Linked DNA regions of Pelodiscus sinensis. The protein of the gene in region 2 binds, or shares a complex with, the protein of the main gene of each other region. Links are inferred from orthologs where the notes say so. Each region holds a gene or a part of one and is shown on either strand. Other genes may lie near its edges.

Evidence for each region.
Region 1: the proteins of PRPF40A (region 2) and SF1 are in contact, whole or in part, in an NMR structure (PDB 8PXX), measured with the Homo sapiens proteins. The link is inferred for Pelodiscus sinensis from reciprocal best matches to the Homo sapiens genes PRPF40A and SF1. Residues at the interface, in NP_001352526.1 of Homo sapiens: His164, Ser166, Tyr172, Tyr174, Ser181, Thr182, Trp183, Tyr213, Tyr215, Ser222, Arg223, Trp224; in NP_004621.2 of Homo sapiens: Pro575, Pro576, Leu577, Pro578, Pro579, Gly580, Ala581, Pro582, Pro586, Pro587, Pro588, Pro589, Pro590.

The regions. Positions count from the first base shown.
Region 1 is NC_134721.1:35,855,677-35,863,011, reverse strand, and holds the start of SF1 (splicing factor 1), read left to right. Parts: upstream 1-4,267; 5' UTR 4,268-4,351; coding exon 4,352-4,841; intron 4,842-6,840; coding exon 6,841-6,969; intron 6,970-7,335. Other genes in the region: MAP4K2 (mitogen-activated protein kinase kinase kinase kinase 2), read left to right, coding at 68-138, 378-433, 1,618-1,705. UniProt on the Homo sapiens protein: Necessary for the ATP-dependent first step of spliceosome assembly. Binds to the intron branch point sequence (BPS) 5'-UACUAAC-3' of the pre-mRNA. May act as transcription repressor.
Region 2 is NC_134717.1:28,834,394-28,842,108, reverse strand, and holds the start of PRPF40A (pre-mRNA-processing factor 40 homolog A), read left to right. Parts: upstream 1-4,593; 5' UTR 4,594-5,138; coding exon 5,139-5,495; intron 5,496-7,715. Other genes in the region: ARL6IP6 (ADP-ribosylation factor-like protein 6-interacting protein 6), read right to left, coding at 1,221-1,357, 3,540-3,593, 4,086-4,413.

The DNA.
Region 1 (7,335 bases), on a different chromosome or scaffold from region 2:
CTTTCCAAGATGTGGTCATCCATAACATCTGCCACTCACCCCTGTCTTTCTGTCCTGCCCACCACAGTGTGCCTTCAAGACAGTGTGCTGGCCTTCTGGAAACATGGCATGCAGGGCCGCAGTCTGGAGAGCAATGAGGTGAGTGCAGGTCAGGGCTTGGGTGGATGCATCTACCTATCTTCCCTAGATGAGGGGGGATCAGACGCTGCAGGGGGGAATAACTTGGAGATGATGTATGCAGAGGTAGTATTGCTCCTGAGGGAGACTCTGTGATATAGGATCTATCCCCATCGTTGGGTAGGGGATGGAGATGCATTGACCCAGTAGGGATCTGGGCTGGGAGAACTCTGTGCTGATCTGAACCTTCTCCTTGACAGGTGACCCAAGAAATCACAGATAAATCCAGGATGTTCCGTGTGCTGGGAGCCAACAGGTGAGACCCCAAAGTGAGGATGTAGTCATGGCAGATGGCAGCAAGCAATTCTTGTCCTGCTGTCTCCACCCTCTGATCAAGTGGTATGGCTGCCCTGCTATAGCTCGCTACCCCCAGTCTGGCTGTGGTAGGAACCTGTTGCCAGCCTGCAAGGCTGGGACAGTGGGAAAATTATCTGGGAGACCAGGAGCTGAGAACTTTTTTCCTTCCTCTTGCCTAGGCCAGATCACTTTAGTAGCTGGTCTCCATCTTGCACACTCTAGTGTGTGCATCCTGTACCCTTGATCCTGTGGGATGTTACATGACTGGGTGGATTTGCAGGCTTGTCAGGGTTTGGGCTGCATTCTGGGCAAGCCAGAGGTTGCATGGTGAATGTGCTGTATTAGGGACTGGGTTTGTATAACTGGGATGAAGTTATGCTGCTGTGCTTATCATTGCAGTATCAGAGCACGTGCCAGGAGCACATTAAGCATAAAGTGGTGGTTCTTTTGTCATCTTGCTAAGGGAGAAGCATGTGTGGGGAGTTTAGTTTGGGTTTATACAGCCAGTTCCCGACTTACGTTCCAAACACCTGATTGTAACTCCATTTGTTCGTAAGTCGGAAATACATGCTTTTACATACAGCCACACTGTTCGTAAGTGTGGATGGTGCATTCGTTAGTCGGGGACCAGCTGTAATGGGATTAATGGGAGGTTGGTCATAAGTGTGGATGGTCATAAGTCGATGCTTTTGTAAGTCGGGGACTGGCTGTATAATGAAATGCTGTTATGTTTATATGAGAAATGATGAGGTCAGATAAATGTGCCCAGCACTTGAACCAAGAGTTGATTTTGCATGGTTGGATTGGAGAGGCTGATTTTGCATGGTGGCCAAGGTTGTGTGATTGGGTTGAGGGGGGAGGGCTGGAGTTGCGTAGAGGGTTTGGTTTTGTGTGATAGGTAGACTGCATTCATGGCTGTGGGACTGGAATGGGGTCTAGATTGGGTGGTGGAATACATTCATGGCTGGGGCTGGCTTTGCTGAGTTGCATTCCTAGCTACATCTCTCAAGTCACCTTTGAGCAAAACAGTCGTCCTGTTCTGCTCAAAAAACATTCTGACCATGAATTGTTAGTCTTTAAGGCTCCATAGTTGTTTTTGCGGAAACAGACTAACACAGCTACCTCCCTGAAATTTCTTTCCAGAGATGTAATCCTGGAGAGCACGCCTACGGAGAATCCTTTAGCTCACAGCAACCTCTACATCCTAACGGGGCATGAGAGCAGCTATTGAGTATGTGGAACTGCCTTTCCAACATCCCCATGGGGATGGATGCAGAGCCCCAGTGCAAGGGGAAATTCTGCTGTGATGATTTAAACTACTGATTTCTGAGATAGCAGGAGCCTAGGGAACTCTTCCCATGAGCAAGGTCCATCTTGTGTTGTGGGAATCCATGCCAGATGGATTCTATTTTATAAACTCTACAGTCCACCTCTTCTGTTGTCCAAAGTCTTCCTGAGATACTCCTGTTTTTCAGAAGTGTATGGAGAGATTCCTTCTGCCCTTTTAGAGTGAGCATCTCCTGAGACTCTTATGTTTGCAATAATTGACTACCAGCCAGTCCAAAGAAGCCTCCTTAGTCTGTCTTGACTGATACTTGTGCCTGCTGAATGCTTCCTCTTCTCTCCTCCCCACCCCATTCTTAATCCTAAGAAGGGGTCTTCTGGAGAGACATGTTGTGAAAGTGTCCTCCTCCAGCTTCAACATGAAGACAATCCATTTTCCAGTGGGTGCATTCTTTTTCCTATGTAGCACTTAAGGTCCAGAAATCTGGCAAACATCTTCAGCAAAAGGAGTGGGAAAGCAATTCTGTGTCTTCTCATTCAAAGTGTAAGCAACAAGCAAAGCTTGAGGTGGGACAAACCTGTTGAATCAGTGGCTGGGATACCTATTTGACTGTTTTGGTAATGGTTGGGCAGGTTGCTTGGCTGCATGAGTTCTGATGAGGGGAAGAGTGTGATGGCTGGTTGGGCATAGGTTGGCTGGTTTAAGTAGCTGGGTGATGGCTTGGTGGCAGAGAGTTGAGTGCTTGTTGGTAGGGAGTGGTGATTAGCAGGATGAGGTGGTGGTTTGGTTTGGAAGTGGCTGGGGCAATACTTGGGTGAATGAGGGGAAATATGGGTTTGGCTGATGAGGCAATGTGAGGGACTTGTTTAGTGAGTAAGCCAATTGCTTCGCAGGGTGGGGTGGCTGATTGGTATAAAAGAGGTTTGAGAGTATCTGCTACAGAGAGACTGGATGCATGGTTGGCATTCTGAGCATGAAAAGATGGGTGGGTGGGTGGGTGGATGGATGACTGTTTTAAAATGAAGCAGACTGCTTCACTACCAGGCAGTGTGTTAAACTGGCTGGCTGTTGGGATGCCTTGTTCTTTTGCTGCCTTGGAAAACTGTGCCAATCCTAAATGCCATTGTGACAGAGATCAGAATCTTGGGGCCAACAGCTCTACTAACTCAGGCAGTGGAAGCTTCCCTTTCTGTTTTGCTAATTTCTCTGTTTTTTAACTGAGAGCTGGAATTTATGGATAAAAAACAAAACTTGAAAAAATATGCTATTTAAGAGATATATTGATATTAAATGTGTCTTTTGTTTGCTTGGTGTTAATTGGCTGAATCATTCCTAGGGGAGAGCCATTGGGGCCTCTTTGCCTATTCAGGTCCACTGCTGTCCTTTCTAGTTTTTATTGCTGTCACACTAATTGGTAAGGACTGGTTTTCAGTCCTGCCTGAAACCCCCTTCTTCCTCCATGAGAACTGTTGTTTATCATGGGATGGGGTAATAGTCCCAGCCACTATCACTGGGACCTGGGCAGGGGTAAGGAGAACACAGTTGTGTGTTTGTGGGCTGGGACTACGCTCTCCTTGCAAGTGAAATGTAGCCTCGGAGAAGGGCTGAAGACTAGGGATGTAAAACATGTATTTGTGTAAACATGTAACCGCTGGGTTCTTAGCAGTTACAGGCAGCAGCAGTCAGTGCTTGTGGGGAGCTGGCTTTTAAGCCGTAGCCTTCATCTCCCGGCTCACCCCTATAGTTTTGCTGTGCACCACGGTGCAGGTGATGTGGCCTAGCACCGCCTTCCCCAAGCCTAGTTCCCAGGAGCCCCTCGGGCTGCAGCAGGGTGAGGAGGAGGAGGCTAGGCTCCCATGAGCCCCTGACAGGGGGAGGCGGTGCCTGCACTCACTGGGGCTCTGGGGCACAGCTTCGCACCCAGGATCGCTCCCGCCCTATCACTCACCAATCAGAGAATGCTCCGTTAATTGAAAGACCCTTTCACCAATCATGGGCGACTGCGCTGCGCTCTGCCCAATAAGAGGAAACCTCCGCATTAACGTCACGACCAACCGACCCCGCACTGTACGGGGTCTTCCAACGACCTTTGCAAAACCTCTAAGGCGCGCCGCGAGTGTCGCAAGACCGCCCCCTCCCCCAATCCAGACGCAGCTCGATATCCCGAGAGCCCGCCCTCCGTCTCTTCAACCAGTCCTAACACGGAAACCTAACTGTGTTCCCGCCCACCGTGCCACACTGCAAGTACCGCGCCTTAAATGCCCAGTCAACCAATCATAACTTGTCTTTCATCCCTCCTTCTCACGCATACTGCCGCTCAACCATTCCCATCACTGTTCGCTAGAGAGTGACATCTCATCTGACCTATGGGTGTTGCCTTCAGCACTTGTCTCCTCTCCTCCAATGACTTTCTTTCACTGGAGCGGCTCGGCCAATGTATCAGCGCGGTTGGCTAACGGACGCATGGCGCTGCCAATAGAAGGACGTGCGCGTACGACTGACATCTCGGCGGCCAATGATTTTCGAGTAGCTTTGTGAGGCGCATAGGCTGGAAGGTTCGCGAAACGCGAACGCCGCGCTGAGGAGACTCTAATGGCGGCGACTGGAGCCAACGCCACGCCGCTAGGGAAGCTCCATCCACCCCCACCACCGGGGAAGCCAGGTTACCCGATGCCTCCGCCGGGTCCACCTGGGCTGGTCCTCCCGGGTCCTCCTCCTCCACCGCCGCCAGGCCCGGGCCAGGCCCAAGCCGCCTTGCTGGGGCCTATGGCGGCTGCTGCCTACCCCTTCGCCGCGCTGCCGCCGCCGCCCCCTCCTCCACCCCCACCTCCCCCGCCGCCCCAGCCTCAGCCCCCGCCGCAGCAACCGCAGCCCCCGCCGCCCCCACCGCCGCCGCCTCCTCCACAACAACAGCAGCAGCCGCCCCAGGCTGGGGGGCCTCAGGCTCCCCCTCAGTACGGGCAGTACCGCTACCCGTCCCCGCCGCCGCCCCCGCAGGGCCATGAGCAACAGCAGCAGCAGCCGCCGCCGCAGCAACAACCGCAGCAGGATGAGAGCGGCCCGGGAGGGGGCAGTAACCACGGTGAGGAGCAGGACGAAAGGGGGTCGGAGAGGGAGGGTCATAAGAGTGGGGCTAGGAAGAATTGTAGGTTGGGTGTGGGGCTGCAGATGAACCGTCGGGCGGTATGAGGGTCTATAGAAGTAAGAGGCAAGCACTGCGAGGGAGCGATGGACGTTGGGAAGCTGGAGCGGTGGGTGTTATGTGTAAATGTGGCAGTGTTCGGTGAGGGAACTGGCTCGGCACCTTTTGAAGCTAGTTGCGAGTCTAGGCTGGGTAGGCAATTTTGGGGGACGTTACAGTGAAAAAGTGAAGGCATTGGGGCTTTTGAGATGGCCATGGGGAGTTAAAGGGGCTGAAACGGAGAGAGAGTTATAGTTTTGGCAATTGTGGGATGGGGTAGAAGTGGAATGGGTAAAATGGTGTTTAAGGGTTCATGGGATGAGACGTCTCTTGACACTTTGTAGGGGTATTGCAGGGAAAGAGGTATATTTGAGAATGGAAGGAAGTGATGGTGTTGAGTACTGGGAAAGAGGAAAAGGGTTGTGACTAATAAAAGGTTGAATGAGATGGGGATAAATAGGAGTAGGATGAGACTAGATTGATAAATGGAGAATGAGTCTAGGTGGAAGATGAACCAGCCAAATATGGGGAAATGAAGGGGAACAGGATGGGTTGAGGTGTTGGCTGTTTTCTTTGAAGAAAGAGAATTGAGCAAGGGAACATTCTTAATTGGAGAGTGGGTTTGTGGCTAGGAAGATGGATGGAAAGACTTGGTTGTGGGTACCAAGAGGAAAAAAAAGATCTGAGTGTTGATATCTTAAAACGGGGGTTCTAAACATGTGGGCATGTGCTGTTCAGTGGAAGCTTTGGGCACAAAACTGAAGTCCCAAAACACTGAACAGCCTGAGATTGGTATTCTTGGAAGAAAGGAGGCCTGGTGGTGTTTATAGGCATTAGCAGATACTCATGCAACCAAAATGGAGGTCTGTGTAGTATTGGGAAGAAATGAGGGTAAAAGCTACCATGGTCTCTTCTTTCACTTTCTGTTTTTGCTGGTCTCTCTTTTTAGCAAAATGATTAGAGATAGCTAATCCTGTTAATCTTCTAATCTTTACAATAAGAGCTCATTTTGGAAATCTGTATTTAAATCATAACAGAATGCTTTTCTGTGTGAAGGCACGTGAAAGCTCAGCATAAAAAAGGAGCAGTAACAATTTCCTACACACTGTTAAAGGAAAACTGCTGTGGGTATAGATAGTTTCCCATCACATCATCCAATGTAAATATCCCAGGTCTTGTAATGTGTACAAAGAGGCTGAATGTGAAATGGTGCTGTGAGGCAGCCATGTTGCTTTACTGATGGAAATCAGAACTGTAACATTCCCTTTAAAAATGGTGGCAGAAATTATTAGAAAAATAGTGTTGGATTCTAGAGTAATGTTTTTTCTTTAGAGAGCCTTCCTGTTTTCAGTTGGTTTGACTAGCTTGATTGAGGAGCATAATTTTGTAGTTGATATCACTGTTCTGTTGAACTCAAGTCTACTGAGTTTGTCCCTTGCTTATTTGCTGACAATAAATACATCTTTTAACATGGCAACATGGCTGCTTTTGCTTGTTTTTGTCTACGTATTGTGGTAGCACCCAATGGCCTGAACATAGATAGCATTCACACAGTACTAGGTGCTGTGCAAACACGGTGACAGTAAAAACATAAAGGCTGAATAGACAGGGAGTAGAGTGGAAACCGGCATAGCACAGAGGTAAAGTTATTTGTCCAAAGTCAATTGGCAGGTCAGTGATTGAACTGAAATTATATCCACTAAAACTGTGTGCAACTTTTCTCATCCCTATAAGAGATTTGGTATTGGAAGGAGTGTAGGTTGCCTTGTCAGTATTTTTTATTTAAGGGAATTCTGTGTGCTCAGTGTTGCTGTTAATAACTTTTGTGTTATGTTATGTTATGTTGTAGAAACACCTTCAAACATACAAAGTTTGTCTAAAAAAGGATGCTTGCCTTTAGATTTCCCTAATAAGAAGCGGAAGAGAAGCAGATGGAACCAAGACACCATGGAGCAGAAGACTGTCATCCCAGGAATGCCCACTGTTATCCCTCCTGGACTCACTCGTGAGCAAGAGAGAGCTTATATAGGTAAATACACGTTCTCCCCTTTTCCCATCTGATCTGCTGTCAGTGGTGATCCTATTTCTGGATTCTGAGTGATTTGAAAGTTAACCTTTTTTTTCTAGACTTCAGGTTATTATGGCCTTATTACATAACTTCAAATCAATAATTCTCACACATTTGCTCAGTCATGCACTGTTGCAGCTCCCCTCTCCTGCTTGTGACAGGAGTAATGTTCTCCACAGGCATGGTGAAAATGGAATGGCTAGAATAGTTTTTGTAGGTGTGATAGTCCTTTCTCTAGATATATTGGCCCTTATTCTGGAGGTGTACTTAATAATCTCATTACAGTTGGTGGGAGCCTCTAGAATTACCTCTCCAGTGGAGAACATT
Region 2 (7,715 bases):
GCGCTGTTTCGAAAAAGAAGCCACGGCCTAGATGGGGTTCTTCTGAAACAAACAAACCCAAACAAACAAAGCCACTTTTTTGAAAGAATCTGTACTCTTGGAAAAAATGAGGAGTATTGGTTTTTTTAAAAAATCCCTCCCCCCCCCCAAAGAACCTGTCTAGACTGTGGTTTCTTCTTTGAAAAACCCTTTTTTCGAAAAGGCACTCTCACGCGATTGTACAAATGAAGCACGAGATTTGTAAATCCGCACTTCTTGAATTTTCAATTGAGCTCATTTACATTCAAAATTAATCAAACTAACATGTAGCCACCACAGTGATACAATCAGTTTATAATGTCCATACTACACTCTTTGTATCAACAATGCACATCCTCACCAGGAGTGCCTGCACTTATTTAATTGCCAGTGGGAGACATTCTGGGATGGTTTCTGAAAGGCAGCAACTGTCTATGTAAGTAATTCTGTGTTTACACTAAATACATCATTGATCTAATAAAATGTTTCTTAAACTGTGTTCCATGTGTGCCACAAGGCAGTCGGATGTGTGCCATAGAGAACAAGAGTCCAAAATGGCTGTCTTTTTGGGGGGGGCTCAATAACCCCCTCCCAAACACACCTTTTTTTGGGCTAAAGAAAAAGAAAAAAAAAACACCCCACCTTTGGAGTTCCTCATTAAAAAAATTGTTTCGTGTTCTTTGGTCTTAAAAAGTTTAAGAAACACTGATCTAATACATCAACTTAGATTCTATGCCTCTTGTAGTGATGGTAATTAATTTCAGAGAGCAAGATATACTGATGCGAGTAACATTTTAGTGTAGTTGCTTAAGTTTGATTTACATAAATTGCCTTATTGAGACCCAACTCAGCAGGATACACCAGAGATAAGTGTTAACTGACCCCTAACTTCAGGAAACACATTAAAACTTTCTTCAGCCAGAAGAAAGTTATTTTGAAGTCTTGCATGCTAAAGGGTACTTAATTTTTTTGAAATCTGTTTCAAAGATTTCAGAAACAATAGGACTATACCAGATAAATACCAAGCTGTGCTTGGTATTTTTTTCACCATTAACATATGTATACACAGAAAACTTATCCAATTCTTGTGTCTCCAGATCACATAAGACGCAATATGAAACTGTCACAGCTATTGCTCGAATTGTATCTACCATGTCTTGTAAATAAATAAGTCGATAATCCAATCCTTGCAATTAAATTACTTACTTAAATCGTGCAGGTGAAAGTGGAGTTGGAGGAAACATTCCTGGTTCAAAGGAATCAAAATAAGTCACCGTCCAAGAAAAGCTGCAGCACGAGAGCCCTGTCATCAAGGCTAAAACAAACAGACCCCAAAATCCTTGGGAGTAGCGGGAGAAAGAAAAGTTACTATAACACCGAATTTCAGAAGAGTTTCACAGAACACACATTTGCAATATAGCATGAATGTTCTACATCACTGAAACAAAGCATTTCTAGTAAGTCAAGCAGAGTAGCTGCTGTTTGTCAGTTCTTTTGACGACAAAATACTTCCATCCCGGAGCAAGGTTACCTTTGTTGGCAGGAGTTCCTGCTAACAATGCACTATTCAGACTAGTACTTGCCATAGCAAAACTTTTGACTTTCAGGTTTTCTTTTTTTAAAAAAAATACTTGAGGCTAATTTACACTATGCAGCTTTTAGTGGCTGTGTCAATACTGCACTGTCACTAAAAGTCAGCATATGTGAACTTAGAAGCATTTTGCCACCTCTGAGGCTATCCCAACAAGCAGGTTTCACTGTGTCAGGAAGAGAGCAGTCCTGTCGACAAAGCAGCATTCACAAGTGCACTTGCTGCAGCAAAACTTTGTCATTCACTGTTTTTTAAAAGCATATGTGAACAACAGAAGTTTTGTTGAGAAAGTGCAGACACAGCCTGAAAGATAAAAGTTGTGTCGTTAAATTGTCAGTGTACACATAGCCTAAGCCTCTGGCTAAGGCCACGCAACAGGGGATGAATTACTAAGTATCCTTTTCTGTTCATTCCCCACTAAGCATCCTGTATTGGCTACTGTAGGAAGACAGAACACTGGGCTAGAGGGACCAGTGGAACCTCAGATACACAAAGTTACATTCATATTGGCAGGGCTCAACAAATCCGCTCGCCCATGGCGAGTAGATTTTGGCAGCTGGCGAGCTGTGATGGGGCTGAGCCGCCCCGCGTCCTACGATGGGAGCGGGGCCACATGAGGGCTTAGGGCGGGGCCAGAGTGTGCATGCGTCCTGACATCAGGGGGAGAGGTGCCGGTGCAAGAAAGCGCCGCAATCAAAAGGAGAGCAATGGAGGAAGGCAGAGGGGAGAGGAGACGGAGGAGAGTAACGGAGGGAGAGGGGAGAACAGAGGAGCGAGCTAGAACACTGTAGTGGGTGGAGGAGTGAAGGGTGAGAGCCGAGGAGGACAGGAGACAGAGGAGGTCAGAAAAGGCAAGAGGGAGACGGGGAGTGGAGCAGGGAGCAGGGAGCAGAGCACGGGGGCAGAGGAAGTGAAAGGAGAAGCAGAGTAGGTAGCAGCCCAGGACGGGGCTCTTTAGTGTCTCTGCTCTTTCTATAATTTGTTGAGCCTTGAATATTGGTCAACTGGACACCATGTGGACACAGCTTCCTGCTGGGACTCCCGCCCTCCCGCATACAGGGGCTGTTAGACCTGGTGCGAGGCAGGACTAAGGAGGTTAAGGACTAGTCGATCCTCCCCTCCCCCTTGCTGCCTCGATCAGATAGAGGCAGCAAAGGGGAGGGAAGGGGGTACTTCAAAGGGGCAGTGCTGAATGGAGCACAGGCTCAGCTGGGAACTCCAGAACAGCATTTAAAGTGCACAGAGCTCGGGAGTCCCCAGCTGATCCCGCGTTCTGGGGAAATGTGGAGTCCCTTGCTGACCCCAAGACTCCAAGCGGGTGCTGCCACTTTGAAATGCACAAGAACCTCCAAGGAGCCCAGAGTCAGCGGGACTTCCCACTGGCCCCGGCACACAGAGTTTCAATTCTGAAATGTGTAAGAGGCCCAGCGGAGGCTCTTGCACATTTCAAAGGAGGAATGTGGAAGTGTCCATCAACTACTCAACTGGTAAATTAATTGAAACAAAATACAGGACTATGTAGCACTTTAAAGACTAACAAGATAGTCTTTAAAGTGCTACATAGTCCTGTATTTTGTTTCAGCTACACCAGACTAACACGGCTACATTTCTATCATGGTAAATTAATTGTTATTTAACATTTTTGGTCAGGATATTAATTTCTTCTGTATTCCAATATATGCTGAGAAATATGTGCTTAACATAAAAAGTTTCTTCTGAGTTTTACATGATTGGATTCTGGCCAGCCAAGATACTCTCCATTGCCTGTTATGTGGCAGTTATGGTTAGGAGAAGCAATCAAGTAGACACAAGCTTCTGGCATTTGTCCAAAGAATCTGAATATTTACTCTAGTTGGCTGTTATAAATAACAAAGTGTTTTTAGTCTCCTCTGAGCTGCAGGAGCTCTGAAAGAACCATATGAATGCATACCTAACAAGCCAGTTTCTATGCCATCTTCATTTTTCTCTTTCTCAGAGCGCAAATCTACAGAGAGAGAGAAATGAGTTATGAAGCATTTTCTAACACAGCAATTTTAGAAACCACCACTCAGCAGGGGCTCACTTTGCTGCATCTCCTCAGCAAAGTCTAAGGACACCAGCTCAGAAAACACTCAGCTTAAAGCAGAGGAGCCAGGAGATCTGGGCTACATTCCTGCTTCAGCACAGCTCTGGTCAGTGTAGAATCTTAATCAAGCTCGCTACCATGAGAGGGCCAGCGTGGCCAAGCCCCCCCATGGTGTATAGGGCAGGCCCCCCCGGAGGGAGGGAGGGGCTGAGCTCCAGCAAATACACTCTCCCCTCTCCTCCTGCTTCTTCGCCAGGCCCGCGCCTTCCACCGGGGCAGCCGCGGCGCTCGGACGGGTCCCCGCTCTCCCCACGGGTCCCGGCCGCGGCCGGGAAAGGCAGCAGGCGCCTGCTCCCTGGCTGCGAGCGGGACCGACAGTCCCGCAGGAGCTCCGCGGCGCGGGCCCCTCACCTTTGAGCACGAGGCAAGCGATGGCCAGCAGGAAGGCGAGGGCGGAGACGGCCAGGAGGCAGCAGAGCATCGAGCAGGCCCGGGCCGGCCAACGGGCCCCCCCCTGCGGAGCCATCAGCCCGCCATTCCGCTTGTGGGGCAGCGGGACTCCGCCCTGGGACGCCGAGACGCCGCTCGCTGCTGCCACCTCTTCCTCCTCCGTCTCCTGCAGCAGCTCGGCCTGCAGGCTCCGCGCCACCGCGCCGCCCCCCAGCCACGGCGTCCCGGGGGTGGCCCCCAACCTGCTGAGCCGGCCCAGCCGCCCGCTGCTGCCCGCAGTCACAGACATGGCGCAGCCGGCGGGAAAGCGCAAAACACGGGCCGGAGCCCAAGGCGGGGCTGCCCAAGTTGAAACTCCCACTCCCGCGTCACCGGGCACCTACCAATCTGCCCGCGTGCAGGGGCGGCCAGGAAAAACCATCAGCAACCGCTGACCCGGAACAGAATGGAAAAGACTGAACTCGGCACGTACCAACGCCTGTCGACTGAGGGGAAGACAAGTTAACGTCTGTAACTAGGCGCCTACCAACTCGCCTCCGAGGGGCAGTGGAGAATCGCGTGCAGGTCATCAGCGATAGGCGATTAAGGAACGTGGGTGTCGCGCACCCCCTCCTTAGGTGTCAGTGGTTCCTTCTACCTTCCTCAGCCCCGCCTGAATCGTCCACGTGACCTTTTCCCAGCATTCCCTCCACACGTCCCCCCCCCATCGCAGTTTCTTCCCCTCGCGAGCTCCGGAGGCCAGCGCGAGCGGCCCTCGCGCGCCCTCTCCCCCGGTGAGCGGAGGCCCCCAGCGCGCTAGACCGCGGCGGGCGCCCTTTCTCTCCCCTGCCTCTAGCGGCGCGCACTACCTCGCCTGACGCGAACCCCTCGCGCGCCCGATTCCGGCGCGACCCCTTTCTCCCGCGGCGCGGGGCCTTTCTACGCGCCCGGGCCGGGTCCCCTCGCTCCGCTAACGGTCTCCTGTACGGCTTCCGGGGAAGACTCCGCGCCTCCGTCCGTGGGCCGGGGGTCGCCATGTCGGGCGGGGATTCGGCGGCAGCTGCGGCCTCCCCCCAGCCGCTCCCCTTTTCCTTGCCGAAGCCCCCTCCCCTCATGCAGCTGACGCCGGGGGACGCTGTTCGCCCCGTCGCCTCCGCCACGGACCAATCGCCGAAGAGTTCCCGGTTGGGAGGCCGCCCGGATTGGCCGACTGGGAAGCCTGTCAGCCTCCTGGCCCCGCTGCTCCCGCCCCGTGGCGAACCCGAACCTCTGATGCCCTTTGGTCCCTCGTCGCGGCAGCCGCTTAGAGGGAGGCTGCTTGGCAGGTGTGGCGGGGGCAGCCTCTTGAACCCCTCGATGAGGCCGGGCGCAGTGGATAGAGCGTCCCTCATGGTAAGCGGAGGGTCACATGCTGTAATGGGGAAGGGGGCGGGGACCTTCCTGGCGGCGACAGGAGGCGTGACGAGATCTCCCGGCTGTATCCCAGAGAGGGCACCTACCCGTGGACATGCAATACAGTGGGGACAACTCCGCTCCCGTTCCTAGGGGCTGGGGCTAGTGCCTGAAGTGTCTTTAGAGCAACAGGAACCTGACGGCATCCTCCAAGCCTTCCCTTTTGCCTTTCTCAGAAACTCCTGGGAGGAAGTTTCAGGGGCAGCTACAGTAGGACTAGTGAAGTCTCCACCTTAGGGTGCTAATGCATCTTTCTGACTCCGATTGGACTTAGAGGGGGGTCCTCCATCTCTGTATGGGGTTGGCTTCTCCCACTGAGCTCGTCTCTGATTATCCCTTGCTTTTATTTCACTTGAACTTCAAAATATTACAACAAATGGTCTGGTAGCACTTTAGGGACTAACAAAACATGTAGATGGTATGAGCTTTCATTGGGCACAGCCCACTTCTTCAGATGATCGGAAAAATGCCCACAAAAGCTCATGATACCATCTACATATTTCTTTAGTTTATAAAGTGCTACCAGACCATTTTTTTTCTGTAACAGACTAACTTGATTACCCCCTGAAGCTTCAAAATATTAGTGACTCAACACTACGATGTTGACCATTCTGCATATCTGCAAGCTGAAATCCAAGTTTATAATTAATGTGATTTTCATTTTGCTATACCACTTGATGATACATTGATAGCTAAGTTAATGATGGTGTATTGAAATAGTAGATGAGGCAGGATAGTCATAAGTGGTGTTATGTTTAACTTAGCTAAATATTTTTTCATTGTTTTAAAACCTTTCATATTTCCATAAATCATAATTTTCCACATTCAAGAGGATCTGCAAGGGCCCATTGAAATAAAAGGACAAAAATAATTGAGAAGCTCTCTGATTACTCTTTCAGTTTAACCTGTGTCTTAGATATTACTGAAGGAAGGAATCACAATGTAGATATGTATATGTTTCTTTTATATAACTAAAAAGAGGTTTAAAAGTTACGTCCACTGACAAAAATACTGAAAGCTACTATTAAAATGATCAGATGTTACTTCAGCTTTAAAGCTAAAATAATTGAGATGATCAGTGCAAGATTAATCCTTTAAAAAGTACTTCTGTGATAATTTGGAGAAAATTTGATGGCTGATTATATTCTGGTTTGCAGAGATTTGTCATTTCTGTGTCTTTTCTACTTATTTTTTAAGATTTTGTATTTCCGTTGTTTACTTCTTGTTACTTTGATATATTTTGATGTACATGCTAATAATTTGATGGATAAATCATTCTTGATAAAGTGCCCTGTATAAAGTCAGTTTCCATACTGTTTCAAATTCCTGTAGATTACAATTTTTTCCTGATCCTAGTGTCTCAGTGCCTGTGGTATTGCATTGCCAACTATAGATGCAGCAATAAGGTTAACTTTTTCACTCATTTTTAGTATAGTAAATTTCCGATAATCCGGCACCTTTAGGACCCAGGGGGTGCCGGATTATCAGATATGCCGGACTGTCGGAAGGGAGGGCTGTGGGGGATCTGGGGTGGAGTCGGGGGGGATGCGCCTCTCGGTGCTGCGGGACCAACCTGGCAGCACCCCAGCTGCTCTGCCCCAGACTTCCTCAAGTCAGCTGCTGCTGAAACCGACCAGCAGCGACCAGCAGCTGACTCGGGGAAGCCTGGGGCAGAGCAGCAGAGGTGCTCTGCCCCGGGCTTCCCAGAGTCAGCCACTGGTCAGTTTCAGCAGCGGCTGACTTGGATGTCTGGGGCAGAGCAGCTGGGGTGCTGCCGGGTTGGTCCCGCAGCGCCGAGGGGCAGAGCAGCTCCAATTGTCTGGCTGCCTGGAGCACTTCCGGGTTTCAGATGGTGCCGGATCATCAGGAGTGCTGGACCATTGGATGCCGGGCCACTGGAGTTTTACTGTAGAACTAATCTTCCTTCAGAACTATTGTTTGTTCTAAAAAAACCTAAAATATTTGGTCCATAAAGTTTAATATATGATGCAGATGTTTGTAGAAAAAAACAGGGAGAAAATGTATTGGTGCTAATATATAACTGGCACCTTCATATTGCAGTTAACTTTAAACGTGTGAAGGAGAAGATATTTTGGTTATCAGATCTGTTTCCCTGCCTGTGTATGCTTCCAGTGAGCATAATCTATTGAAATGGCATGT